Linked DNA regions of Oryzias latipes. Each later gene encodes a partner of the first gene's protein in a complex. Links are inferred from orthologs where the notes say so. Each region holds a gene or a part of one and is shown on either strand. Other genes may lie near its edges. The genes, in order: uri1, uxt, pdrg1, ruvbl1, pfdn2, wdr92 and pfdn6.

The links.
Region 2: uri1 (region 1) and uxt share a complex: the UniProt entries of both Homo sapiens proteins name them as parts of the PAQosome complex. The link is inferred for Oryzias latipes from reciprocal best matches to the Homo sapiens genes URI1 and UXT.
Region 3: uri1 (region 1) and pdrg1 share a complex: the UniProt entries of both Homo sapiens proteins name them as parts of the PAQosome complex. The link is inferred for Oryzias latipes from reciprocal best matches to the Homo sapiens genes URI1 and PDRG1.
Region 4: uri1 (region 1) and ruvbl1 share a complex: the UniProt entries of both Homo sapiens proteins name them as parts of the PAQosome complex. The link is inferred for Oryzias latipes from reciprocal best matches to the Homo sapiens genes URI1 and RUVBL1.
Region 5: uri1 (region 1) and pfdn2 share a complex: the UniProt entries of both Homo sapiens proteins name them as parts of the PAQosome complex. The link is inferred for Oryzias latipes from reciprocal best matches to the Homo sapiens genes URI1 and PFDN2.
Region 6: uri1 (region 1) and wdr92 share a complex: the UniProt entries of both Homo sapiens proteins name them as parts of the PAQosome complex. The link is inferred for Oryzias latipes from reciprocal best matches to the Homo sapiens genes URI1 and DNAAF10.
Region 7: uri1 (region 1) and pfdn6 share a complex: the UniProt entries of both Homo sapiens proteins name them as parts of the PAQosome complex. The link is inferred for Oryzias latipes from reciprocal best matches to the Homo sapiens genes URI1 and PFDN6.

The regions. Positions count from the first base shown.
Region 1 is NC_019864.2:30,476,798-30,480,842, forward strand, and holds the start of uri1 (unconventional prefoldin RPB5 interactor 1), read left to right. Parts: upstream 1-1,245; 5' UTR 1,246-1,563; coding exon 1,564-1,638; intron 1,639-2,019; coding exon 2,020-2,054; intron 2,055-3,030; coding exon 3,031-3,109; intron 3,110-3,282; coding exon 3,283-3,418; intron 3,419-4,045. UniProt on the Homo sapiens protein: Involved in gene transcription regulation. Acts as a transcriptional repressor in concert with the corepressor UXT to regulate androgen receptor (AR) transcription.
Region 2 is NC_019865.2:33,765,944-33,769,972, reverse strand, and holds the start of uxt (protein UXT), read left to right. Parts: upstream 1-1,229; 5' UTR 1,230-1,352; coding exon 1,353-1,450; intron 1,451-4,029. Other genes in the region: cdk20 (cyclin-dependent kinase 20), read right to left, coding at 289-402, 485-565. UniProt on the Homo sapiens protein: Involved in gene transcription regulation. Acts in concert with the corepressor URI1 to regulate androgen receptor AR-mediated transcription. Together with URI1, associates with chromatin to the NKX3-1 promoter region.
Region 3 is NC_019863.2:18,202,525-18,206,735, reverse strand, and holds the start of pdrg1 (p53 and DNA damage-regulated protein 1), read left to right. Parts: upstream 1-1,411; 5' UTR 1,412-1,455; coding exon 1,456-1,539; intron 1,540-2,290; coding exon 2,291-2,366; intron 2,367-2,508; coding exon 2,509-2,583; intron 2,584-2,662; coding exon 2,663-2,743; intron 2,744-2,818; coding exon of another isoform or gene 2,819-2,844; exon of another isoform or gene 2,845-2,885; intron 2,886-3,718; coding exon 3,719-3,801; 3' UTR 3,802-4,211. UniProt on the Homo sapiens protein: May play a role in chaperone-mediated protein folding.
Region 4 is NC_019863.2:3,775,258-3,779,473, reverse strand, and holds the start of ruvbl1 (ruvB-like 1), read right to left. Parts: upstream 2,801-4,216; coding exon 2,660-2,800; intron 568-2,659; coding exon 481-567; intron 393-480; coding exon 260-392; intron 1-259. Other genes in the region: eefsec (selenocysteine-specific elongation factor), read left to right, coding at 3,482-3,785. UniProt on the Homo sapiens protein: Possesses single-stranded DNA-stimulated ATPase and ATP-dependent DNA helicase (3' to 5') activity; hexamerization is thought to be critical for ATP hydrolysis and adjacent subunits in the ring-like structure contribute to the ATPase activity.
Region 5 is NC_019876.2:18,978,092-18,981,415, forward strand, and holds the end of pfdn2 (prefoldin subunit 2), read left to right. Parts: intron 1-1,340; coding exon 1,341-1,544; 3' UTR 1,545-2,824; downstream 2,825-3,324. UniProt on the Homo sapiens protein: Binds specifically to cytosolic chaperonin (c-CPN) and transfers target proteins to it. Binds to nascent polypeptide chain and promotes folding in an environment in which there are many competing pathways for nonnative proteins.
Region 6 is NC_019873.2:11,204,358-11,208,519, reverse strand, and holds the start of wdr92 (WD repeat-containing protein 92), read right to left. Parts: upstream 2,801-4,162; 5' UTR 2,661-2,800; coding exon 2,475-2,660; intron 2,318-2,474; coding exon 2,217-2,317; intron 2,134-2,216; coding exon 2,003-2,133; intron 1,932-2,002; coding exon 1,830-1,931; intron 1,217-1,829; coding exon 1,101-1,216; intron 1,001-1,100; coding exon 866-1,000; intron 1-865. UniProt on the Homo sapiens protein: Key assembly factor specifically required for the stability of axonemal dynein heavy chains in cytoplasm.
Region 7 is NC_019868.2:26,685,013-26,689,051, reverse strand, and holds the start of pfdn6 (prefoldin subunit 6), read right to left. Parts: upstream 2,801-4,039; 5' UTR 2,666-2,800; coding exon 2,602-2,665; intron 2,446-2,601; coding exon 2,375-2,445; intron 2,287-2,374; coding exon 2,162-2,286; intron 1-2,161. UniProt on the Homo sapiens protein: Binds specifically to cytosolic chaperonin (c-CPN) and transfers target proteins to it. Binds to nascent polypeptide chain and promotes folding in an environment in which there are many competing pathways for nonnative proteins.

The DNA.
Region 1 (4,045 bases):
GAGGGACAGGAAATACAACAATCGTGGAGTTGGACAATCTGAATCGAGTAGCTGAACCTAAAGAATCAGTGTTTTATAAAAAATAAAATAAAACATTCACGAAGAAAGATGGCATAGCATAGTTGGGCTAGTAGAGATGCCAGAAGTAAAACTTTCCATTCACAATATATAAAAGGCGTCATGTTGTTGTTTGTATTATTATTATGATTATAATGATGATTATGATTATTATTATTGCTTTGTTTTATTGATCCATTATCATTATTTTTGTTCGGTTGTCAAAAAAAGAATAAATAAAAACTTGAATTATAAGAAAAACAACAATGGAGTTACGGCTCATTTTAAATGTTTAAACTGTTTTTCGTCCTCTTTTTCTGGTAAATTAAACTAATCGTAACATTAGTAAAAGGTTTTTCCACATGGTTCTAAAGTAAGCAAATGATAGTTAATTTTTAAGGTAATTGGATCTGTGAACACTGTGAATGTATAACTGCAATCCAGTCATCATAAATGATAATTTGAGAAACAGGTGTGTTGTGCTATTTGAACACCACAGATGCAGAAAGTTGTCACATTTCGTGTTTAACTAAAATTAGAAAAAGTTGAAGAAGGCCTGTAAGTCAGTATTCCGGGCTGCAGCTGTAAAGTTTGATCAAAAGTGAACATAAAACTGTGATTTTTGCTGTAATGACGTTATATTAAATGCCGACATCAAGAAAATGGATATTTTAACTAAAAGCAATAATTCGCTGTTCAAATCCAACAGAACATCCTTTATTGCATCTTCTTTCAACTATTTATAGTGCATCCAATTGCAACGCATGCAGACTAAAGTTTTTTTTTCTGAACTGACAGTTTAATTAAAGCTAGAAGTAATATTTTTTTTCTTTAACGTGTGTTTCTGTTTGTTAGTTTTTATACGTTTTAATGCTTGTACAGCTCTAAGTTAAGATTCGGTTTATTTTTTATGTTTCGTAAAATATTTACAATACTAAACATTTACCCAGAGTGCACTCTGGTAGACTTTTCTAGACGTCAAACAGAAATGACACGCTTGGTTTTCAAAGTAAGAGCGAACATTTAGATAACGTGTTAACATTTTAAGAAAAACACATGTAAGATACGTGATAACGAAGATTAAATTGGCATGTAATTTATGGTTTGGTGTTTTGGGAGAAACTTGCATAAAAAAACGTTGCCCACTCCAAGTCTCTTCCGTTCACGGGTTTTATTTTGAAACTAAAAACCGGAACAGCTCCCGTTTCTTCCCCTGTGGGTCGATCTGCACAGCGAAAGAAGCGAGGAGTTCTCTGCTAACCTCTGGATCCAAACTCGGCGGATTTTTTTGGAGATCATGCAGAAGCCGTGAAATGAGCGTGTGAGATGATATCACCTTCGGACGTGAGGATTACCGTCGATGCCCCGTTGATGAAGGCGCGCGGGACGGGCCTCCGGAGGAGCTGCTGCTGCTGCGTTCATAAACACTTCTTTAGGACTCACAACAAACCCTGAGCTTTGGTGCTCCTCAGAGCCCCAAGGCACCTGTGCACGTGCGGAGTAAGGATGGCTGGAGGAGGAGGTAAAGCGAACATGAAGCCCCTCGGCGGGGTTCACAGGCTCCGAGAGGAGCACGAGAAGGTAAGAGGAGCGCGTGAGCAGATCTGCAGCTGCGGGCCACGAGGCTTGTTTCCTTCTGAAAACATCCTCCTCTGCAGACATGAGCCGCAAATACGGAGAAAGAAGATTCGTTTCTTTTCTTTGCCCTGCTTCAGGTGAATTAGATCAACCCACAAGCCCCTCCCCCAAACCTTTACCTGAGCTTTTACTCCTGCAGGTTGTTTGGTTTCAGACTCCATGTTTACAGGCTGCCTTTGCTGCTAACTTCTGTTTTTTCTCTCTCTCTCTCTTTCTCTCTGTTTGGCTAATAAGGAACACAAAACTCAGTTTGATAGCATGAAAACATGTATGTTGTGTTGAACGTGTCATGTTGTTCATGAAAGCATTTTTTTCCTGCATCAGGTGGTGAAAGACTGTGACTCACGGATTCAGCATTGGTAAGCTGCACAGTCCTGAAAGTTTCTCCTCTTCTACGGTTTCCTCTCTGCTTTGAGTGTGAATGTGTACGACTTGGATATGAATGCAACAAAGACGCTCAAAGTTTGCAGGAGAATAACCCCCCTCCCTTTTTTTTAAGCTGCAGTCATGGATTTAGATGATCGCATTTTCAATTTTAGAACTTGACGGTTAAAGCTTCCCATATTATTTTCCTCATATGGCAAAGACAAAAGTTTTTCTAGGATTTAGCAGTCTATCGCCACAGCATGATACTTCCGCCACCCTGCTTTACCATGGAGACACGCCCCCACAGAAGACTAGTTTAGCTCCTAAACCGTCCCTCGCCCACAGTCGGCCCTGATGCAACATTTCCTTTTGTGGTCCGTTAGCAACTTCCATATTTTTGCAGAATTCTCCCCTTTTTCTTTGCTTTCTCTTTCATTTTCTAGGATGTATGAGAACAAAATAATTCAGAAAGATGCAAAAAACAAACCAGATCAGCCAATTTAAACTCCACTATCTGATGAGGTTGACATCGTTTACTCGCACCAGGCGAATAATCTTAAGAAATTAGGTAATAATTGGCGTTTATTTGTTTAGGGAAACGTTTATTTTTTCTGCTCTGTTTTTTTTACTATATAAACTATAAACTTTCAGGTTATTTTGTGAGTTATACTCTTGTAAAAATGTAGTTTAAATGCATTTAAATGTCCTTTTTTCCTTAAAGATTTTCAGCAGTCATTTATTTTGGTTTTGTTTACAGTCTTCATGAAGGCGTAAAAGTTTTTTTTAATCTCTAATGCAAGTTAATAAAAGTTAAGATGTTTTGGTTTAAAGTAGTTTTCCTTATAGATGATTGTCATTGCCCCCTTGTGGCCATCTGAGCAATAACATCCTTTAACTTTACTCATCATTTTATACCCAAATCGCATCAATTGGGTTAAATTCTGAATATTTCTGTGACCCGACCTGCAGGATGAAGGTGTCGGGTGATTACGACGCGCTCAGCGATCGACTCAAAACCCTCCCAGACCGGCTCTCCTATGACATCATGGTGAGCGCTCGCCGTTTCACTTGACAAGTTTACAGAGTGACCCAAAAACCAAAACTTTACTGGAAGTTCTGTGTCTCCCGTTTGCTCCATGTTCGCGCCCACTTCCTGTCAGCTGCTCTGACTAACCCGGTTCTGTTCTGTGGCCCGTCCGGGCCTCCTTGTGCTGTGAGCAGGTGCCCTTCGGCCCGCTGGCCTTCACGCCCGGCAAGCTGGTGCGCACCAACGAGGTCACCGTGTTGCTGGGCGACAACTGGTTCGCCAAGTGTTCGGCCAAACAAGCCCAAGCGGTGGTGGATCACAGGATGAAGCGTGAGTTTCTGAACGGCGGCGTGTGGCTGCAGAGCGGCGGCCTGTGGCTGCAGAGCGGCGGCCTGTGGCTGCAGAGCGGCGGCGTCTCCAGCGGGGGGCGGCAGTGCGTCACATTCCGACAGCCTGAGCTTTACTTTACAGACGTTTCTGGGCTCAGGATGAAGTACGTCTTTGTGTAAAAGCGTTTGGACTCGTTCTTTACGTCAGTGACGGCTGCAGGCTTAGCCCCCCCCCCCCCCCCCCCCCACCACCACACTTTTGTGGCCAGGTTATAGACCGCTATGGTCGTTTGGCGTGTTGTCCGGACGCTACAGCCTTTACCTCCACATAAAAAAACCCTCTCTGATTTGAACATTATTAGACTGTTTAGTGAAGCAGAAATGCCCCCCCCCCGCCCCCCCCTCTCCTGACCCCCGCCATCCCTGCTATTACACAGCTAAGTGCTGTAATGCAAACACAGCGAGCTGAAATGTGTCAGACAGCGGCTGAGCTGTCTGGCCTTCTGCGTTTGACCTTTCCTCACTTCCAGTTGATGCACTGACTGGAGGGGCTCGCCATCGCCATGGAAACAAGGGCCCTCTGCTGCTATTAGTGAAAGGGCTTAATTGTTGTGAAGATTTAATGATC
Region 2 (4,029 bases), on another chromosome or scaffold:
TGATCTCCAGCCTGGTGCTCGTCAACATTGTCACCTGAGTTAACAAGACGATGAATGAAATGATCTCAGCTGGTTCTTTAATGACACCAATGAAATGCCGTGGAAAGAGTTTTGGGGGATTAAGTTCATTTTTATGGCAAAGAAGGACTATGCAATTCATCTGATCATCATAACATTATGGAGTATATGCAAAATGCTATTATATGTATTTAAGCAGCAATTATTTTCCAATTTCCAACAATATTTACGTCATTCTCCAAACCTTTGACCACGACTGTACACACTCACGTGCTGGTTGTCCTCAATCTCCTGCAGAGCCTTGATCTCCCTCAGAGCCTGATTGGGAATGCCGTCCTCCAGCTTCCTCAGAGCCACCTTCTTTAGAGCCACAGTTTCCCCGGTCTGTCAGAAACACGTTCATCCATCAGCCTGAATGATCACCTGTTCAGGTGTCTGTTTTTTCTGCTCCATGAACATGTTTCACCTGCACGTGCTTGGCCTTAAACACGATTCCGTGAGCCCCTTCTCCAATCCGGCCTAGGATGCTGTACTGCTCCATGATCATCCAGGACCCCTGCAGCTGCAGCGGGGATCTTTATGGACTTGGACTTGTTCCTTTACTTAACGGTTTTTAGTCCACGGGTTTTAAGAGCGGGGCTCCGGCGCGTCCAACCAAAATAAGCACGACATTTTGAACGGAACGAGACCGGAAGTGGGCGCTGATGTTGCCTCGGTCACATCTGATAAATAAAACTACGAAACTTTAGTATATCGTTGAATATTTAGTATAGTGCTGGATATTTACTTGATGCGTAAAGCTGATGACATGTACGCGACACCAAATGTGCGCTGTCCTTTGGCACTTGACGAGATATTTTGAAAACGTTTCAACTATAGTCAACGCAGCTCTCCGCCATGTTTGTTGACAGTGACGTCATCACAGGACAATCCAAATCAACGAAAATAAAACAACGAAGAAGAATAAATAAAATTAGCACAACCAGCCATTAAACAAAAACATATATATTTTAAAATTCATATTCACATAAGGTTTAACCCGGGAATTAGTTTATGAATAATTGCCACGTTCTATATATCTGGTAGAATATGGAAGAATAAATGTAAGTGAAAATGACCAAATAACAACTGTTTGCACAAAGTGCTTTAAACATAAAAAGAAATTAAATGTTCTTTTTTCTGCTCCTCTTCTACGCTGAAACCTGGAAGTATCTTGTCGGAGTACTTCCGGTTCAGAATCTTGTTTAGATGACTGCATGTGGGGCTGTGAACTTCTTTACAAGTGTCTGAGCTGAACCGGCCCGCAGAGCCCCCGCATTAGCCCCCCATCCCCGATGACTCCGCCCACAGACGCCGGTTCTGACTCGAGGATGGAAGAGAAGGTCCTTCAGTATGAAAGATTCATCGAGGAAGTTCTGAGGAGAGACCTGCGGTAAGCCCCTCTGGGTTCTGCTCCGGTTCTGAAAGTCCCCCTCTGATGAAAATCATGTTTTGTGACATTGTGGTATTTGTCTTATGAAATACAACAAATGGAATTAGACATGGTTTCATTTTTGCATTTCTGAGTGTTTCTCCTTTTAAACCGCTGTCAATCAAACTGTCTCAAAGACGCTCTGTTTGAACTAATGCGGTGTTGTGACGTCACAAAGGCCCAGGGGAGTATTCCAGAAAGCAGGTTATGCACCCACTATTGGAGAAAAATTGCCCCAGATATTGAATGGAAGAAAGTTTGGACTTTGTCCTCTAAATATTTTATTTCAAATAAACCCCGGGATGTTTGTTTTAAACTTCTTCACAGATGCTACCCAGCCAAATCCTCATTACACATAGACATTGATAAAAATTGCTCCTTTTGTAAATTAGACACTGAAACAATTATACATCTTTTCTGGAAATGCCCCCCAACAGCAATTTTTTGGAAAGACCTTACCTCCTTTGTTCGATGTTAAATTTATGAAAAATTTGATTTGGTATACAAGGATATATTATTTGGTTTTTATAGTGTTAATAATTCACTAAGAAGGGAATACTATTTAATTAACCTTTTGATAATACTAGCCAAATTCCACATACATAAATGCAAATTTTCTGAAAAAAAGCCCTTATTCAAACTTTTTATGATTGAGTTGAACCAATATATCAAAGCAATAAAACATTCTTCCAACCCCAAAGCTATAAGAACCTTTGACACCCTGGAATTTTTTTAAATGTACAGAATAGCAACTTACTGCTTTTTCTGCTCTTGTTTATAATTTTTTTTTTCTTCTTTCTTCTCCTTTGTTCTTTTGTTCCCCTGGCACATTTTGTTACTCTTTTTTTTTATCTGTGTACTTAAAATTTACTTGAATGAGTATCTTGTATATCTTCAATAAAGTTTATTAAAAAAAAAAAAAAAGAAAGCAGGTTATGCTAGCTCCCTCGGTACGTTTGAGGCTAAGGAAGTTGATAACCTCAGCTTTCAGTTCCAGAAATAGAGGTATGTTTCAGGTTATGTCAAGTTGCCATAGCAACTCATGCTCTGAACATAACCTGGTCTGGAGCAGGTTTAGTTGAAGGTTAGTTTGTTTACAGAGAGGTGAAGCAGCATGGCGTGTCCATTTGAAGATGATTTAGTGGATGAAGAAGCTCAGATAATACTTTTTACACCATGAGAGGGTGATAAGACCACATATGGATGTTGGAAAGATAAACTTTTTTACTTTGATCTAACTTCATTATTTGCTTCAGTTAAGATAAATAATTTTTTTCAGTTCAGTCAACTTAAAAATAACACATAGTTGTCAGACAGTTATTTTACTTTCATTCAAATTAATTCAATTGAGTAGGTGTAACTTTGGTGCTGCTGTTAGATCGGCACCGCAAGGGATTGTGGGATAGCATTCCCTTTGCCTGTCTGGACGGATTTGGGTTTAAGTGTGGCTTTTTGACCAAATGTGTTTAGTTGTTTAGCTGTTTTTATTGTGTTTTGCCCAGTTATTTGTCCTACTATGCTTAGGTCTCTGCACCATGAGGGAGAGGATGATGAGATTATATATATGTTATATATAGAGAGACCTGAAAGAAAACCTAAAGTTCAGGAGGTCAGAGCAGGCTGGCTCCCCATCCTGCAGCAGGTCTCTGTCTGGCCCCCAGCTCGCCTCCTGGGAGCCGCATAGTGAGATCAACCGCTCCAGCTCCATGGGCCCTGGGACAGACTGTCCAGGCTTTAGCCGCCTTTGTTCAACAGCAGCTGGTGTAGGTAGCATAACCATTCAGCCTGCAATAACCGTTTGGGGTCCTTTCGACTGAGGATGATGTCACATTACGGTAGCCCCACTTGGACAAACTACGTAGCGTGGAGATCTGCTCGGGCTCTACATATTCTCATTTCACGTTTCCTTTTATAACATAAAGTTCTTTTCCCTCTTAAGTTGTGTCTGACATTATTCTTTGTAGTGTTTATAGAGATTTTGCCACAACCCCCTTTGTAAAGATCTGTGGCTGCTAGAATGAACCTGCTGCTCCACAGAGTGAACCCTGTCTCTGAGCAGAGCAGCTGGAGTCTCGTAGCTTCGTGTTTACAGGCAGGGAAGCTGCTTTGTCATAGTGTGCGGTCTGGAGAAGGGTTCTGAACGCAGTCCATTCATCTGCAATGCACCTAATAATAATCATAATATTAAAAGCACGTTTAGAAGATAATGTCGCTCTGTGTCGGAGCTCTGTTTGTTTACAACGGACCGTATAATATCTTCTTCTATGGTAGTATTGTCATTTGTCCAGACCAATCACTACCTGACACGTCATTGGACCAACAGACAGTCATCACATAATGTGACGTCAGCACTAGTCGAAGGACCCTGAACGGTTGTTGCAGGCCGAACTGTTATGGTACCTACACTGGGACGGTACTGAAAAAAGTCCAGCGCTTGCCGGACTTATTTGGAAAATTGCAAGAGAATTGTTACTTTCTTTCTGGCCTTTCATTTGAATTGCTGTGCAAGTGAATTCAACAATCTGCATGTCGTTGCATCA
Region 3 (4,211 bases), on another chromosome or scaffold:
TTTTGATATCAACTATCTGTAAATGTGCATTTTATGATTGTTTTGAAGCTGTTTCAGGGGAAAAATCCTTCAGTATGTTTACATAACTGCTACATGTCAAGGAATATGGACAAGCCTGTATGTTTTTAATTAAACAACAAATCTTTTAAAATGTTTGTTTTCATGTCCTAATAACTTGATTATGAAGCTTGTGGTTTGTCAAAATAAATAACAGCTACATTTACAAGCAGAAGGCAGTAATGCTTCCCAACCCTGGGTTTTATATTTGTCTTTCTGCACGGATCTTTCTCAGGTTTTTGACCTGAAGATGTGAAAAAAATCTGAATTTTATTTACAGAGATTGAGATATTTTTAAATCTAATGTGTTGTCTAATGTTTCAGTGTCCCCCATCCGCTTAAGTCTAAATTTTAAATACATGATCAGAATAAATTTTGTTTAACACTTAAAAAAATACAAACACACCCAATAAAGCAAACAGATGAATGAACCAGTGGTCCAGGTTTAGCCACTTAATTTTACTTTGGGCAAATACTGAGACAAAAAAATGTAAACTCTCTTTTCATGTACATTTGGATAACATTTATACTATACGCAGCATAAAACACAGCTGTTTATTCATTTCGCCTCCTCAGTTTCCAAAAAAGCAGTGAAATCAAATGTTTGTATGGGCATCAGAAATATTCTGCTTGTCATAGGCCAATGGGAAATCTTATATGTTCAGATGGTTCAGACTTAAGTTCATCATTAGCAAATATTAAAAACTGTAAATAAGAAAGTAGACCAGATATTTCCAGCAAACATTGGGGGTTACTAAAAACAATGCGGGTCATTGTGATATTTTCTGGGTTCAGCTCATATAGAGAAACAAGATGATGAAATAGCCACTAAATGTGCTTGAATAGTTTCCAATAAAGGATTTTGAGTTAAAGATCAGTCTTAGCAAAGCAGAGATAAAAACATAATCAAAGAGAGAAAGAAATATGACGAAGACACTGGGAGAAGGAACAAAGGAATAATAGAGGGGAAAATGATGAGAGCGGGACAACATAGGATAGGAAAAGAGCAATAACTAGATTGAGACGTAAGACTCGAACGTTTTTAAAACATGAATACATTTTTTTTAAACTAAAAAAAAAAAATCCAAATTTAAACAACCTTGAAATGTTGAACATGAAGTTTGAGGTATCTGTAAATTTAGGCAATGGTCGATGTGCGCTTTTTTTTATTTATGAAATTTTTGCAAATTAAGATTGAATTCATTTTTTGAGAAGATTCCACTCGAATGTAAGTAAGAACGTGAAAGTTAAGAAAAGATCCCGGTTTACACTCCACTCCAGTTGGCGGCGGTAACGACCAGCAAGCTGTTTGCCTACCGCCAAGAAAATGCAGAAGATGAAGCGTTCCGCCTTCTCTTGTGTTTCTCGTAGAACATATTTAGATGCGACACCGCCAACATGGATGCGGGTTCGCAGCGTGTGCTGGACTACCTGACAGAAGTGGAAGAAGCAGCCGAGGAGGTTATCACAACCAAACAGCAGGTATGTTGTGACGAACCGCAAATCGTTTCTTTTTTCAAAAGTCATGTTTAACATAGATAGCTTCAGCTAGCAAAGAGGTCACCGAACCGCTTCACTAGCTTAAAAACAAGTGATACTGAAGTTCAAGTTGGGCTGCCTGGATGATGATCATGATGGATCGAAATTTCTGTTCACAAAATTGAGTAAAAAATATCCTAAAATAATATTTTATGTCATGTTATACTATGAATTAGATGGCGTGTCCAACAAAATATTTTTTGTATTGATGATCTGTTTGGGGAAATTCCACTCACAGAGATGTAAACAAAAAAAGAAGTGTTTTCCTCTACTTAAACGTAATAAAGTTGAAAAGAAATTAGATAAAGATTAGCTTGATACCACTCTTGAAGAAAGACAGAAATTCAAAAGTTCTGCTTTCAATCTGGCTCTATTTGACATTTTAAAGATTTTATAAGAAATTTATTTGCAAATGAAATTTTCTATAAACTACAAGTGGATATTTTAGCAGCTAGTGCAGCAAACACGGACAATTTCTCTTTTAACATAAAATCTACTATAAATTTTGATCATAATATCTGTGACATAAATGGACACTCTGTCTTTGTTAGTTTAGTTCACTTTATATTCTTTTTGGCTGTCACCAGCCAGGGTCTTACTTTGACCCATTTTCTTCATTTAATAACCAAAAATTGGATACTAAATTAGGTAAATATGAATTCATGTGTCTTTCTTTTTTTTTTCTTTTCTTCAGATAGTGGACCTGGACTTGAAGAGAAACCGGAACAGGGAGGCGCTGAACGCTCTCAAACATGAGCTGTCTGATTCAGGTGAGGCAGGACCGGGTCCCGTCATGTTTAGAGGCAAGAAAGGAAAACCTGATCGCTGCATTTATGAAATATGTCAGAAGTGCTGCTGTTAAATAACAAACCCAGCCTTTTCCAGCCTTAATGTTCTTGTTTTTGTTTGCAGAGAATGTGAAGGTTTGCTTTGGAAACATGTTTATTGAGTTTGACAAATCCAAAACTAAAGGGATGGTCCAGAAAGGTAATCCTTAAAGAAAACACACTTCCATGCTTTATGTGTTTATTCATAAAAATAAAAATGTATTTCTTTTGTGCTGCAGACCAAGAACAGCTGGATAAAGAAATAAATAACCTTCGCAGAGAACTGAAAACTAAATTCAATCATCTCAATGAGATTCAAGGTATGCAACTCTTTCAAAATAAGAAAACAAAAAAGGAAAAATTAAAGCTGACAATTTTAATAAAACGCTTTACAGGCTGTGTAGCAGAAGGGGAAACGTGATTCCTCCCTCTGGTCCTGCCCTCCTGTTGGAAGGAGAAGAGGTGTTGCATTTCTCTTTTGGATGAACATAAAGGGGTTTTGGGAAGAAAAGAAGTGCTGTAAAACACTGGTAGCCATTTGGAACAGAGGATGTTACTTTTGACAAGTTGAAAACTCACAAAACTCAAGAAAAGTTAATAAGCTAAAATAGGTTCCTAATTCCAAAATGTTAAACTGACATTTGTGAAAATGTGAAATATCAAGACAAATTAATTAACAGCGTTCATTTGGGGCTTTGCACTGTTTCTGTAGAGTTCAGTTACACAACGTACTTGTCGGTCGTTCCGGTTGAAGCCAGTTGCGTAACTGCGGAGTCCTAAGGTGACACAAATAAATACTGCAAGCTAAGAGTGGAAACACCAAGACAACAGCAGACCTCATAATATATCTTTGTTTACAGATTTCTTTGCATTTTCTCTGACTGAGCTGCTGTAAGGTTCCAATGCCACAAGGGGGCAGCACACTCAAAAGCAGGCGAAATGTTAGTCTACAGATGTTTTCCACCTGCTCACACCTACAGACTGATCTGATCTGCACATGCACTCTTCTAGACACTCAGTTCAGGAGCCTTTACTCTGTGTCCAGGTCACTACAAACATTTTTTTTAATCATTAGTGCGTCTCTAGAGCTATCATTTTCTTTAGTAAAATACAAACAAATTAAAATAAAGTACCGTAAAATGTTTGCACCAGGAGGGGTAAAACTGTCTCATAACAACAGCAACTAGTGGAAAAGATGCCCTGACGCTTCATTCAAACATTCAGAAGTCAAAGTAAGTTTCATCAATTAAACTTTTATTATTGAATAGCTAAAACTATTCCCTTCATTTCTGTAGGTAAACCGGAGCTCAGAGGCTACAGACTGTCTGCACTGTCCTCTGAGGAGATCAAATCTATCAACAGCCTCCTGAAGACCTGATTCTCCGGCTGTTTCGAGTCACTTCTGAGAGAATGAAGCGCCAAAGCTGCAGGCCTGAGTTCCAGCGCCACATTTAAACATCATTTAAACATGCTTATTAAAGGCACCTTGGCTGGACGGTTGGACTGTCGGGGATTCGTGCAGGACACTTCTGCAGGTTCAAAAGATGACAAACATGTCCTTTTTTGCACCCGGTTCCTGGACTGTTTTAATAAAGTTCATATCTATTATATTTACAGTTTTAAAGTTGTTTCCTTTAGTAGACAGCAGCAGAATCTATATTAAACATCTTCTAGAATTGTAGTAGTTAAAGATGGCTGTACTGACTGGTCAAAGTCCACTTTCCAAACTCTCTTTAAAGGAGATGTTTGGATGTCCATGTTCCTCTGACTCTGAAGTTTTTGTGTAAA
Region 4 (4,216 bases), on another chromosome or scaffold:
TCGGACGTCGGTTTCCCAAAAATGTTGAATAAAAGACCAGGTTGTCACACGGACAACCATCGTGTTCATTTGGGGTTGTCCTCCGGGAAATCTGGTTGTCTCTGACAACAGGATAACTGCTTATTTCAAACGCTGCAAAGTTGTGAAAAAACGTTTTTTCTCTGCTTTAACAAACCCTATGTCTTCATGGATATAATTCCAAAACTATCTGGCTTGGTTGCCATGGTTCCTGTTGGATAAATGGATCGATTACACTCACCAATTGCCCTCCTGAAATTCTCCATCAATACTTCTGTTTTCTTTATCTCAGACGAGTAGACCTCACTGCCCACCATGGGGCAAAACGGAACCTTGTTCCCCAGCTCCTGAGCGATGGCCAAAGCCAGGGCCGTCTAAAGGCAGAAGACACACGGCGTCACAGTAAGAGTCTGCATGAAGGACGAGCGTTAGAGTCCGCCGGCATCTTCACTGATGCTTTACCTTTCCTGTTCCAGGGGGTCCTGCCAGTAAAATGGCCCTTCCTGCCATCTTTTTGGCCTGGATCAGCTCAACAATAATGCCACAAGCCTAAAGGGTAGAGAAACCAAAGAGAAATACAACATTTAAAGTAGGGCTGCACGATATGAGGAAAACTTGCGATATGCGATATTAGTGATCAATATTGCGATAACGATAAATTTGCGGTAAATAAACAAATAGAAAAATAAACAAAAACATCATTCCCATTTCATTGCAACAGTTTAAAAATTATACTCCAAATGACCCTCATCGACATGGGGGACAAACGTCAGGGTGGCTAACCCTGGTCCTCAAGAGCCTCAACCCTGTCTGTTTTCCAGTTCTCCCTAGACTGCTCGATAATGATAACCAAAATCAGGTGTGTTCAGTCAATCAGGATGTGAAATCACTTGAGTCAGCCAATCAACAGCAAGCTGGTTAAGGAGAGCTGGAAAACAGGCAGGGTTGAGGCTCTTCAGGACCAGGGTTAACATAATAGGCCTCCATCTGATTGGTCAACAATGGGAAGGCGTCCATCTGATTGGTCAAAGCATAAAGGGATTTATTTGATTCGTTAAATGCTTCAAGCTGCTAGAAGATTGTTTTAACACATTTTGGGCTTGCGATTTATTGCGATATTCGCCGTCTTTTGCGATATGCATATTGCAGAGCTGGATATTGCGATAACGATAAATTTGCGGTATATTGTGCAGGCCTAGTTTAAAGTATAACAATGAGGAAAAAGGAAAACTGTCTTTATAACTACGATGTTGAGTAAGACTAATAAACAGAAACGTGAAAGTTGCAGGTCGATTTGTTCTTTTGTGTGCCACAGGATGTATTATCAGATACATTGATATTGTTTTGGTGATATACATTTTTGCAGGACTCAAACTGAGATTTATAAATGTCATTTCAACGTCGTATCAAATCAAATCAAACTTTATTAGTGTAGCACTTTTCCCTCTAGAGCCCCTCAAAGTGCTTTACACAAAAACATGTTCAAATTTTAAAAATTTAAAGCAAGACGTTACATTAATATTCGGTAGAAATCCCATATAATGTCGTCGTCGCCCCCCCCTCCCCACCGCCCACTCAAGTTCACAGAATATGCTACCACAGGACCCCCCCCCCCCTAAAAAAGGCTTAAGAATACCATGATACTGGCCCTTTAAAACCAGCACAGACAATCTTGTTTGGGTAGGTAAAAACACAAACGGAAATTATTATTATTATCGTTTATTTTTTTAACTTTGCCAGTGCAGTGTTGATTTTAATTTTCCTTATAATAGGATGATTCTTAGGTAAGAATTCAAAACAGTGTTTAAGTGCAATCGGTCAGTTGAAACCTCCGACGCATGTAAAAACATATTTTAACATCCACCCAATACTGCTTTTAGAATGGAATGAAATTAAAAACTGAAGTAATACATCATGAAATTAAGTTGAAAATCCTGTTATGAACTTCTTCATCAAATAAAAATAAAATAAAACGTGTTTTAGAGGCGATTATCCTGCCTTGTTCCACTTTAGAGTCTAGAAAATACACTGCGATCTATATAATGTATTAGAGTTTTCTTTGCATTTTTAATTATTTAGCAGCCATAATGTAACAATAGCAAACAAAAAACACAAAAAAAATAATATGATGACTGTTTATTATGGTTCCAACAATTTTCCATTATAAAGAAATAACTGTCAGTGCTGTTAGTTCCATCCAATAAATAAAATTAAATAATCTACAGATCACATTTGACTTTATGACGGTTTTGATGTAGATTCTTTGTCGACTTACAAATGTGTAATAAGAAATATACCTTAGTTTGAGTTTCACATTTCGTTTTTCTTTCCCAATAAAATAAAAATTGTACCTGTATGATGGAAATATAATCAAGAGATTTCAATTCATTTTTTTAAATTTAATTTAAGAAATATATTAAATGAAATAAAAAAAATAAATCGCTACTTTGGAAACTGTGTGTTAATTTAACTAAGGAGGAGTCTCGCAGGTTATCTGAGAAGAAAACTACGCAGCTGTGCTAACTCAGTTAGCATCAGGGGTTAGCAATTTGCTACCGTGTTCTCATAGGAACTTATGTGCAAGTAATGTCTGAAGGAAAATAAAATACAATTGAAACAGAAAAAAGATGATTAACATCACCTCTCTGGCAGCCTCCTGTCCGACCAGTCCGCATGCTGTCTGTTTAGCATTGCCGGCCTCGTCTAGCCCGAGTCCCTTGACGTGACTGTGTGAAGCTATTCGCTGGGTCTTTGTGGTGCTTTTTACCTCCTCGATTTTCATATTTGCAAGTGTTACAGGAGCACTGGCTATAATACTGTCCAAGCCGCAAAGTAAAGTTTAAAAAATGTCACCTAAGTGTCTGCGTTTCTCTGACCACTACATGAGGCGCCAAAAGTCAAAACACGGTTTCCATGTGGGTTACCAGGGGAAAAAAGCAGGAATCGACACCCCTGAGGTACCGCCCATTTTAACTAGTCTGAAAACCATTGGTTTTCCTCATGATAAGAGCATTTCTGATTAGTCAATGTTCTGTCAATCAAAGTTGAAACCACACCCCTGTTTCCTCCTGTGCTTCGTTTTATTTTGTTGTAATAGAAACACACAAAAAAGGCCTCAGTATAAAAAACACTAATTGATCGATAATTTAAAATATTTATTTTATACATAGAAATATATTTCTGTGTTATATTTTTTTATTAAATTGTAATATTTAAATATCACATTTTTCTTATTTTGGTTTGTTCCCCGCATATAAACGTTCCGGTTCGTCTTGTAATCGGGGACGAAATAAAGTGTAAGCACCATAAACTCTGCAGTTTTTTAGGGACACTTTAGGCACCGAAAATGACTTGTTGATTTGACCAACTAACGCAGTGAACGTTATTTTTTTTCCAAATAACTATCAACGCGGTGCTCAGGTTTCAAGGTAGGAAAACGTTCGTGCTCGGAAACTTCGAGAGGATGTCCGAGTCTCATGACAGCCGCACGAAAACGTTAAATTTCAACGTGGGGGTCCTCGGACATGTCGACAGCGGGAAGACGTCGCTGGCCAGAGCGCTGAGCAGCACCGCCTCCACGGCTGCTTTCGACAAGAACCCACAGTCCCGGGAGAGAGGCATCACGTTAGACCTCGGCTTCTCCTCCTTCACGGTGGATTGTCCGGATCACCTGCGGGACGGCGGGGGCCTGAAGCCGTACGACAGTCTGCAGTTTACCCTGGTGGACTGTCCAGGCCACGCCTCTCTGATCCGAACAATTATCGGAGGTAACGTAAACCTGTGGAAGATCATGGATGGACTGAGCATCATGAAGGGTCAGGGGCTCAAGGTCCAACATTCCCAAGCCCTCCGAGGCATTCAGACAGTATGCAATGGTGGCAAAGGCTGTTCTGTTATATGATTGATTGATTGATTGATTGATTGATTGATTGATTGATTGATTGATTGATCACATCAGAACACACTGACATCCAGTGTCTGGTAGGGAACAGTTACATGGCCAATCTTATAGAGACTATAATATAGTCATTTACTTTTGACCAAAAACAGAGAACTTTTTCAAGCGGAATAAAATAAGAATAAAAATACAAAAATATGATGCAAAGAAACTAAAACAAGGGATTTATTTGGATGACTATTGTGGCAGTTTTCCAGGTTTTCATGGTTTTTATTGAGTTAAAATATATCATGAATTCAT
Region 5 (3,324 bases), on another chromosome or scaffold:
TTTTTGTAGCGCGGCTGGAGTTTGTTAGAAATTCACCTCTAAATTGTGGGGAGGACCAATAGGGCAGAGCAAACACCCCCCCCCCCCCCCCCCCCCCCCCATCCAGTCACCCATAACAGAGCTATCTGTTAACATTCTCTCCCGCTAGCTTACAGCCCCTCACAACCTCAACCTAACATGACACCACAAATGGTGAGCAATATTGGAGCCATTCAGCTACCCAGTTTTGAGCCAGGTGACCGCTCAGATGAGGAAAACAAAGATGTACATGGATCTATTTGTCTACAAGTTGATGTATAAGAATGGAGCAGAGCAGAGTGTTTGTGGCTCACCCAGTGTATTTTCTACGTCACAAATATGCTCTTTTTCAAATTGAATTTCTTTGTCTGCTCCTGATTTATAAAAACTTGAATAAAGAAACTAAACTGCAATTCTAACCTACCGGTAATTTTTTTTTGATTTGCCCGAAATTTGGGTCGGCACAGGCACAGCCAGCTTCTTACTCAGAGGGAGAACGTTCACCGAATGCACACACACACACACACACAGACAGACCCCGCCCCTTCCCACCAGTCACCAGCCCACCGTTGATTGACATACACTGTGGTCCAGCAACTGGCAGAACGAGGGGGGCGCCAGCCACCCGCAGCTCTGCGCACGTGTCGTGAATGTAATCTTCCCTCCGCAAGCCCGCATCTATTTTGTTTAGGTATCCCCGATATGGAGCAGCAAGAAGTCAAGGATAAACTTCAGACAGGGGAACTGAAAAGGCAAACACGCACTGCAGCGGCTGCAGTATTTCTCCGCGTAATGAAGCGAGTGCGCATCAAGATCTCTCTTTCACTCTCTTTGTCTGGCCTCTTATTCTGTGTTCCAGCGTTATTTCGTTGTGTAAATGCATTTATCATGATCATAAAAATATGTAAATTATTTTAACTTTAAGAAATCTGGCGTTTTTTTTCTGTCAAAAATACTATGGGATAAATTGAAATTTCGGGTTTGCTTCGGGTTCAGGCCTGCAAATCAAGTTAATTGGTCGGGTTCGTACCGGGTTCGCCTTTAATGCCCGCGGGCCTGTGTCGGGTTGGGCTGGATTTTTTAGGCCCGATCTTACCTCTAGTTCCAATCAAGTCACTCTGAACAACAGAATCCTGTGATAACATTACCCTGGAAATCTTTACAGACATTGATTTTATTCTATTTTTTATTTGCTTTATAAATACTTTCTTAGAAATTATATTTTTGATGTACATAAAATGATTTGAGTCTTAATAGTAAAATACCTATAATCTAGAATTTATTAAAACAAATTTCCCATTTATCTTTCTCTCTCCCAACAGATCTCCAAAGCAACTGAATCCATCAATATACAGATGCAGGCAAAAGGCCGAGAACTGACAGAGTACAGGGAACGCTACAACATCCGGCTGGTTGGAGAAGGAGAGGGAGAGGGAGAAGGAGAGGGTCAGGGCCAGTCAGGAGCATCCTCTAGAGACAGTGAAAGAGGAGGATCCAAAAGTGGAGCTGGAGTTCTGGTGTCATAGTCTGTAATGATGAACAATGTCAATAGGGTCATTTGATTTTTACATCACTGAAAAACTTAGTTTGAAGAAGGATTGGCTGGAATGTCAAATTGTTCTTCCTCTGTATGTCCATTTGTGAATGCTAACATGTGTCATCTGAGGTTATTATGCATTTGCCTTTTCTCTTTTTGATGGCAAAAATACCGTCTTAAATTTCCTTATTAAATTTCAACGGCTGAAAACTTGCTTTACGGTGTTGCTTTGGAAGACTACAAACTAGGGGTGTAATGATTTTAACAACGATCCGATTCATATCATAATTTGTGGTTGATGATGCAATTTATAGTCGACATTGGTTCATTTTGAACATTCCAATACATTGACCTAAAATTGATCCAGAACATCTTTAGCCAAAAATTCAACCAGAGTGACTCAGGAATAAATACCTGGGTGCTAAACAGTGCAGGTAATGTTTTCCCAATTCTTTGTCTTTCTTGCAAGAAAATCAAGTGTACATTAAATATTTGAACAAACAAAGAAGTATATAAGAATAAATGGAAAAATCCATTCATATTTTAGCTTCATAAAGTTCAGCCCACTCTTGTTTTCCCATCAACATAATACAAACAAAACATTATTAGAACATTCTACCACACTGTATGGTCAAGTTATTGCTAAACTCAAAGGGTTTCCACCCATTGGACTGGAATGATGGACTGATCTTTTTTTGCTGCCATCAGATGTGTGTTGTTTGCAGTGAAAGCACTTGGTTGATTTAAGGTTATAGTAAAATAAACCTACCATACCTGAATCCAAATGGTATTTTCCAAGATTGAATATAATCAATTTATTTAATTTTTGACAGATTATATAATGGTATAGGTAAATTAAACTCTATTTACAACATACCTCAGATCGATCTGATTGGAATGTAGTAATACAAATCGATTTATTGATTAAGTCGATTCATTGTTACACCTCTATTACAAATTTTTTTTGCATGTATAATTTTTCAGCTGTTATAAATATCAGTTATTTTGAGGTGGATAAAATGTATTTCCTTCTAAAGGGGAAACAATAAAATTCAAACAAATTTAAAGGCATCTTGAATGATCAATGCAGGACATGACCTCATTACTTCAGAAATGTTACTTTTTCATGAGCAGAACCGTTTGTTGGAATTAGCAGACCATCACTACTGAAATCTGGCTGAGATTTTTTTTATATGTCCCCTTTCTAATATCGTTTGAAATCTTCCATTGTTTTTGTACAGTAAAATAAATTGATTTACTACATCAAAATATGATATGTGTATTTTTCTCATTTGTTTGCTGTTGTGGGCAATGTTGCTAACGGAAGTAAGTTTGAAAACAGATTGGGCTCTGTAATTCATTATTAGTTCAGAAGTAAAATATTTCCAAAATGACCAGAAAAATCAACCGACGAGGATGGGATTCGAACCCACGCGTGCAGAGCACAATGGATTAGCAGTCCATCGCCTTAACCACTCGGCCACCTCGTCATGACAACTCTCCACAGAGTCTGTGTATAATAAACTTTGCAGAAGAGATACATTGTTGTGATATTCTGTTTATTATGTAGTATAATCCCATCATAAATCTCATTACCGCGTGTACGACCGATTTTACCTACAGAGAACGGTCAACACAAAAACAGGCTGCGTCCTTTAACCCCACATTACGGTCATTACACATCCACACGCGCCGCTGTCGCAGCAGAAGATCCGGTGGTGTTGTGATTTGGTGGATTTCAGTTGAGTTGGGTCTGCATCGGTACCTAT
Region 6 (4,162 bases), on another chromosome or scaffold:
AATGTAGCCTCATGTTTAGTGCCAAAATATGTGATGAAAAGGCCGACAAACAGCTAAAAGTTTAAGTATTTGAAGACATTACAAACTTCTTTTACATCAGTATTTACAAAGAATGTGCTGAAAAGGCGATACATAAAAAAAACACAAATAAATAAATAAATAAAATGCTGAAAATACTACAGATGCTAAATCCTAACGTCAGTAAAGAGGCTAGTTTTAGCTAAAGAATGTTGAAAATGCAAACGGTGTGTTGAAATTATTTTAATTAATAAAATTATCTAATAAATTTTAAAGTGTTAGCTTAATTAGGAGCCTCAGTCGTATATATATATATATATATATATATATATATATATATATATATATATATATATATATATATATATATATATATATTATCATCATATATATAATCATCATGTATATGGACATACGTTACTCTGAAAGGCTTAAGAAAAGAATGATTCAGGCCCTTGAGGCACTTAAATAATAAAACAAAAGCCAAAACAAACTGAAAAGTTACATTTCACTACATATGTGAAAGCAATGAAATAATGAAATAAAAATAAGAGATAGAAATGAGAAATAGTGTTGGTTATGCTCAAATTGTTCTGAACATTGAACGTTTGAATTTGTGAATTTAATGTTCACCTTCATTAGAAAAAAAACATTTGATCAGTTGATCTTCCAGCTGAGCAAAAAACAAATGTTTGCAGCTCCTTTGTGAGCAGACTGGCTCCTGCTTCAAGACATTTGCAGCAAAACAGTTCTGTTTGCTTTGACTGCTGTTGTTTTTAGAGGGATGCTGTCTCTTTCTGGAAATGCTAAAATGGTGCACCTGACTGAGTCCCCAAAGGTTTGTTACCTTTTCAGAAACAGAGGCAAAGCCTTTGGTGTGGTGCTGCGTCCTCATGTCAAACACGTGGAACCGGCCCTCCAGAGACGTGGCCACCAGCTTGTTCATGTTGATATCTTTCCTGTCAAACTCCACGCAGCAAACCTGAACGTAACGCAGGAAAAAGGAATCCCAGTGAGAACCCACACAGAATCACAGCATCATTTATGATCACGCACATAAACGAGTAATGTCCTCAGCCCACCCCGTTCTTGATGTTGGTTTCCCATCGCAGAGACATGTTCCTCAGGTCAAACAGCTTGACGTCTCCGTTGTCGTAGCCGGCACAAACGCATCGGTCCTCTTGGTTGAAGGCGTGACCTGAAATCGTTTTAAGAAAGCCGGTTATGAGGCCAAACGAATAAAAAACAGGCTTTCACAAATTTATGAAGGATTTCAAAAAGTTCTGTACTGTTGTACACAATTATAGAATGTTATAGAACTTTATTTTACTAAAATAAACAGCAGGATGAAGATAAATCATATTTAAGCCAGAACTGTGGCATAATTCACAGTGTCAAAGGCTTTATGGTGTCAAACAATCACAACCCAATGACGATTTTGATTCGTAAGGAACAAATGTGTCTATATTTTCTGCTATGCTGTGTCTGATTACATTTTTGGTGCCTGTGGACAAATTTGGTTCCACCCTTCTCTGCAGAATTGCTTTATTCAATCACATTTTTGAGGATTTTCAGGAAAAATGTTCGTTTATTTAAATTAACCGGAACAAATTTGAACGTTTTGACACTTCAGAACCCTTACGGTGATCCATATGACTTTAGTGATACCTCAGCATGCTGTAGCATCAAACTGAACTTCACCTTTACCATCTTTTGTGGTGTCAAACAGGGACTTTCCTGTCCTCTGAATAGGTAGCATTATATCCTTATGGTTTAGAAGTGAAAACTTTTATTTTGAAAATTCTGCTCACCGAATGCAACAGTCCAGCAGTCCCTCCTGGTTTCCCCTTCAAGTGGTTCCATGTTGGCCACAGGCCAGTCTCTCTGTCTGGGATCCCACACCTTTACTGTTCCTGTGAAAACCCAACAGAACCTCAGATCCACTCTTGCTGTTCTAACTGTGTCTTGCCTCTATGGCCTTCACCATCTCTGCTGCCGGTCACTATCTCAGGAGCGCCTTCTCCGATTCCCAGACCTCCGACTCCGTCTATACTGTTGACTATTTCCTTATGGGCCTTCACAGAGTACACAGGCACATCAGCAGCCTCTAGATTCCTGTCCATGACAAATCTGTTCAGAAATCACCTCAGAAAAACACAACACATGGATTTTTGCAGGAGAAAATGCAGACAAAATACCAGATATTTAGATTTCCATCAAAATCCCCGGTTGCTATGTGTCTGGTCTGCAGGGAAGATGCCCCAAACGTGCCACACTTTATAGGTTTGGGTTTCTCGAGCTGAAAAACATCACAGGTTCTTATATTCTTAGCACTCAATCTGTGTTTGCTGGGTTAGGGTTGCCATGGCTACAAGCGAGAAAACCTTCTCTGGACAGCTCAGAGCAGCTCGTTGAGGTTAAAGGTGAAAGATTTCAACATGAAGACATCAGTGCACCTCTTTAACAAGCTGTACTTCTCCGTGCTGCAGCTCGTGGATCTGGATCACCCCGGTTCCTCTCGGAAAGTTGCCCAAACAAACAAACTTGGCGCTGCAGGGGATCCACTTACAGTCGAACACAGTGAAGTTTAGACCCGTGTGAGCATGCGCGATGATCTGAGGCTTTGACAGCGAAGACGACATATTCACCGAAGCAGAAAACTACGATTTAAGCGAATAAACCAAAGCAAACATCGAACATCAAATAGAACTTTGCGCTACAGAAAATCTACCAAAATATCAACGTTAGGTCCTGACTTTATAGGTGCCCACAAATATGCCTGATTTTCTCCCGATATTTAAAAATAAATACATTAAATTATTCTTAAAGCACATACATAAATATTTTTTTTACAGTTATTTGGATTTAAAAAGCGGGATGGTGATTAAATTACATTTAAATTGTACTTTTTGATACACCTGGTAATAACATTTTGTTTCGAGCGTCGACGACGCCACCCTTGGGGTCCTTTTCAGTGCACGAGGGCAATCTCGTGCGTCCCCCCGTTCAGTCCACACCACCCTTTTAAGGACTTTATTAAACTTTTAAAGACTGTATTTTGCCATGGACGCCAGTGAAAGCGGAGCTACGGCGCCGGAGAAGCACGATGACGGGGAATCGTTTACGAAAGTGAAGTCAAAGAAGAGCCAGAAGAGAAAACTGGAGCCAGACGGAGGCACGACCATGGAGGTCGAACAGCCAAATAAACGCCCGCATTTTCCACCCATCTCAGCTGACAAACTACGGGTATTTACAATGTGTTTTCATTTCTGCCTCTGCGATTTCACGGGTAAACCACAAACGCGAAACCGACTTAAAAACGCTTGTTTTGCCAAAGCGCTGTTCCTTTAAATATTGAGATGCTTTGCGCATGTGCACAAGTAGTGAAGCAAGGATGGGCGATACCAAATAACGTATTTGTTGTTTTTCAAGTTTTTCTTTACCGATATTAATATATTCTTGCACCAAATTACAAAAATATTCGTATGTTTTGCTCTTTTCTATATAGAAAATATTCTGTACAAGATTTACTTTACACGAATTTAAAGTTAGAAGACATAAGTACATAAATAAATGTTAATACTTTTGGATGTATGTCACGTTTGTGAGCAATACTTTTCCCATGAGTCAAGTAGTTTATATTTAGTGTAATTTAAGAATGTCTCTGTCCGTTTTTAATAAATTATAACGGGAACTGTCAAGTGTATCTGACATTTGATGCGGCCCAATAAAACATTCCTGCAGTGTCTCCTTATGGACAGCGGGTGGCGCACGTGGGGCCTCTTTGATTTCTTCACACTGTTTAGCACTTTTAAAAGTGCCAAGATGTAATGTCTTTTACCACTTCAACTTTTTTTTTTTACCTAAGGGCCTATGATGACTGAACTTGGTATTGACGTCTGATTGGTTCCTGGGATCACGTGACCCTAAGCAAAATACTCCTGGATAGCTCTGCACAGACGGATCTCTACTATCTATAATACCACAGAGCTTCTCTCCAAAATCACTTTTTGTTTATTATTAGAACCATTTTAAATGACATGCTATTTAAATTTAAAAATTAACAGTATGCTGTTTAAATCAAACTACTGGATAAAACAATGTCCTTGGATGGCAATAAAGAAACCATTGAATCTCCTCTCCT
Region 7 (4,039 bases), on another chromosome or scaffold:
CTGAAGTAACCAAAGCACGTGACCAGTATTATAAAGAGAAGTCTAAGAAAAAATACAATTTTAAAGACAGAAAAAACGCTCAATAATAATCTCCAACAGGATGAATGAGCTGCTGTAAAAACAAAAGACTTGTTTTTACAACACAGTACAGAATATCAAAGCTAATTCTTGTTTTAACTGAAGAAAGAATTACCTATAGAAAATAACAGGCAAAATACTTGTACAACATAGATATGTAAATAAATAAACAAGAACCTAAAATAGTGTGACACAATCCTCCTTTTGATTAATGCTAAAGTCATTTTTGACAGATTTAAGATACAAACTGCTTTACGATTTCAGTGTCCGACGTTAAAAGATGAAATACAAATGACACTAGGGCTGCACGATATGAGGAAAACTCGCGATATGCGATATTGGTGATTAATATTGCGATAACGATATAATTTGCGGTATATAAACAAATGTCAAACCAACCAAAAACATAATTTCCATTTCAATGCAACAGTATAAAAATCATACTCCAAATGACCCTTGTCGACGTAGGAGGCAAACATCAAACATAAAAGGGCTCATTTGATTGATCAACAGCGTAAACGGGTCCTTCCGATTGGTTAAATGCATAAAGGGATTTATTTCATTTGTTCAATATTTCAAGCTGCCATGAGTTTGTTTTAGCACACTTAACCCTTGTGCTATCTTAGATGACCCCCCCCTTACATTGACGTGTTCTCCCTACCATGACAAAGGTGGACAAAGGTGGAAAGATTTCATGTAATCCATGGACACCAGTGAAGATCACAAATTATTGAAGAAAAATTGTTCAGTGCACTGTCTAGTGGGTCTAGATGACCCAACTCCCAATGTTAAAGTGCCTAGGATAGCACAAGGGTTAAGGTAACCATTTATTGCGATTTTCGCCGTCTTTTGCGGTATGCATATTGCACAGCTTGATGTCGCGATAACGATAAATTTGCGGTATATTGTGCAGGCCTAAATGACATAATGAGACGATAAAAGCTAATAAATAGGTTAATGTCAGAATATTTATTCACAATTACTATTCATTTGTTTAAAATAAATGATAGTTTGTATTAATTGAACAAACAATTTAACAACTACAAACATAATGATATGAAATATAATATTATGGGGAAAAAACCTGTCCAAAAGTATCTCAGATGCATGGACAGCAAATATAAAACTATTTTAACTTTAAGAACATGTAAATATTATATGACATAATTAATTTAAGGCCCCAAACGGACAGCTGTGGGATCCCATTTATTTCTTTTTTGAAGGTACAACCAGCCAAGGTCAACTTTTATTTCTGCACAACCCTTTTTTCATCAGCCACTTTTCATCTTCCATTAATTTAAAAGAAACTATGAGTACAGTCTTTATTATATATTAATGTAAAAAAAAACACAAGCATATCTGTGACATGCATCTGTTTTCCCCAGCATAAAGTGTGTCACAGTAATGAAAAAAAGAAATATTTCTATTGAATGAAGCAACATAATACCTGATATAATCACTTAGCAACACTGTTAATTTAATTTTAAAGCAAAAGCTGTATTCATTTTTTTAATATATTATTTTATTTCCCCCAAAATTTGACTAATTACTCATCTGGGGCACATTGGACCCCATTTATAATGTAAAGATATAAGATAGTTTTCTGTCTGCTAAAATGTCTATATGTTTAAATACTACAATTATGGGTTTCAGGTCAAAAATTAAGCCTTCACCTTTCAACTGTCAGTCTTAGGATATAAGATTGTATCAGTAGAAATTGAATATTAAAAGGTTCAAGGTATGGCGTAAATTTAAGGCAAATTATGTGATTCTATATTCTATAAAGACAGCTTAAATCAGGTGTTCTCGTCGTGCATTTTGTTTCTCTATTTATTCAAGGTAGAACTCAGAATTTGTGGTCAAAATTTTACCATGGCGACGAAATATGTTCAAGTCTATCCTGAATTTTCAGAACTACCCATAAAAACTAGATTTCCAGCTTCTGTGGCTGATATTTCATTACAAATAAATGACTATAAACGTCTCTGCTTATAGTAAGTGCTATATATTATAAACTAAAGCTTGAAAATATCATTTTAACTAGGGCATCCCATACATTTTCTTTTGTATTTCTTTTCCTTACATTTCTCCATTGATGTACTCCAGTCTTTTTGTGACCGTGGCCTTGGCTTCATCCAAGTCTTGCTTCACTAAAACTGGACCGATAAGCTTGTAAATGGTGTTAGAACTGTCCAGCAGATCGAGCTCCTGGAAATATACAGGTCACATCTTCAGTCAAACTGAACATAAAGATATCTAATGGACAAAAACATGTTGTTAAGGGTTAGGCGTGTACCTCTTTGACTATGTTGTTTTCTGTCAGCTGCGTCTCCAGTTTCTGCCTGACGGACATACTTTTACTCACATCTGAAAAAAAAACAGACATTTGTAAGTTGTATTTCTTTTAATACGTCAAATCTCAAAGTTACTTTAAATATTTGAAACATGGGTGCAGGCATGGCTAACTAACTGCTGCCCGATGGTAACAACATCATGGCACACTAGCAGCTAACAGGTACCTACCTTTCTGCACCTGCGAATATTTTTCTAATTCCGCTTTTAATTTCTTTTGAATTGCATCTGCCATGTTTTATGACTTGTTTGTAATAACCGTGTAAACGTTAAATAAATGTATCTAGAGGTTTCAGAGCTAACAACACAGAATGGGAGAACTGCGCTAGCTAACCGGAAGGAGCGACGGATTTAGCGGAAGTTGTGAAAGATTCACTGCCATCCAGAAAATCGGAGTTTCCGCAGTCGTACAAGAGAAGAGTTTTATCAAATATTTTCTATTTCTGTCCAATGTATATCATATTAGATGAAGAAATTGCATGAAATTTGAAAAATATCTTATTTGATTAGGATTTTTTTGACTTAGTAGTTATACACACAAGTTATTACATTATTCTCATAGTCGAACAATAGAAGATAATAGATATTTTAAACTTTGAATTGCACACATAACATTTAAAAATAAAATTAATTGCTGCCACATCTCATTCAAAAAGGTATGGATAAATCTTGGTCCACCAGCTCTGATCAGTCTAAGGGGATCTCCAACATGGAAAGAGTTGATGTCCTCTCTGTATTAAATCATAATAAATCATGTAAGGGGCTAATACCTGGCATCAAGCCACTGACCTTCAAAAATCACAAGAGAAATGAAAATTGGTTTTAAAAAAAAAGTGAGACGGCAGTTGCCCAATAAAGTGGTGGACACTCAGGGACTGTGACCCTAAAACTGGGAGAAAGATTTAAGATCAACTTTATTAATCCACTTTCAAGATCAACTTTATTAATCCACGAAGGGAAATTTGAGAAAAGCGATTCTTCAACAATAGTTTTGCCTTGGTTTGCTTTACATCAATAAACAATAGAACCTTGGAAGGTTTAGTAAGTCAGATAAGTAAGTTGAGGAATAAATGTTTGTATGGACCCTTTGTGTGCGTGTGTGTGTGTTTGTTTGAACAACTTGTTCACCTCTCGGCAGATCCCGTCATTTGTCACCACAGTGGTATTTTGATTGGAAATAAATTGTAGTATTTGTAGTATCATTGTTTTAATGAAAAATCTAAAATGCAAAAGTGGTAAGTAGTAGTAGTAGTAGTTGCTGTAATGGTAGTACATTTGTATGGGTTTTTTTTTTTATTAAAAATCTAAAATACATAGCAGTTGCAGAACTAGCATCATTATTATTTGAACAAAAACCTAAAATAAACAGTAAGCCTGTGGTAGTAGTAGTAGTAGTAGTAGTAGTAGTAGTAGTAGTAGTAGTAGTAGTAGTGGTCATGGAAGTAGTATCGTTTTGATGATTCAAAATCTAAAATACTTAGTAGTCGTATCATCATGTTTTGAACGAATTTCTAAAATACACAACGAACGCTGTTACTGATGGGAAGATTTTGGTTTTAATTATGCAATGAAAAAAAATTAGACAACCACACATCACAGAAAATCAACA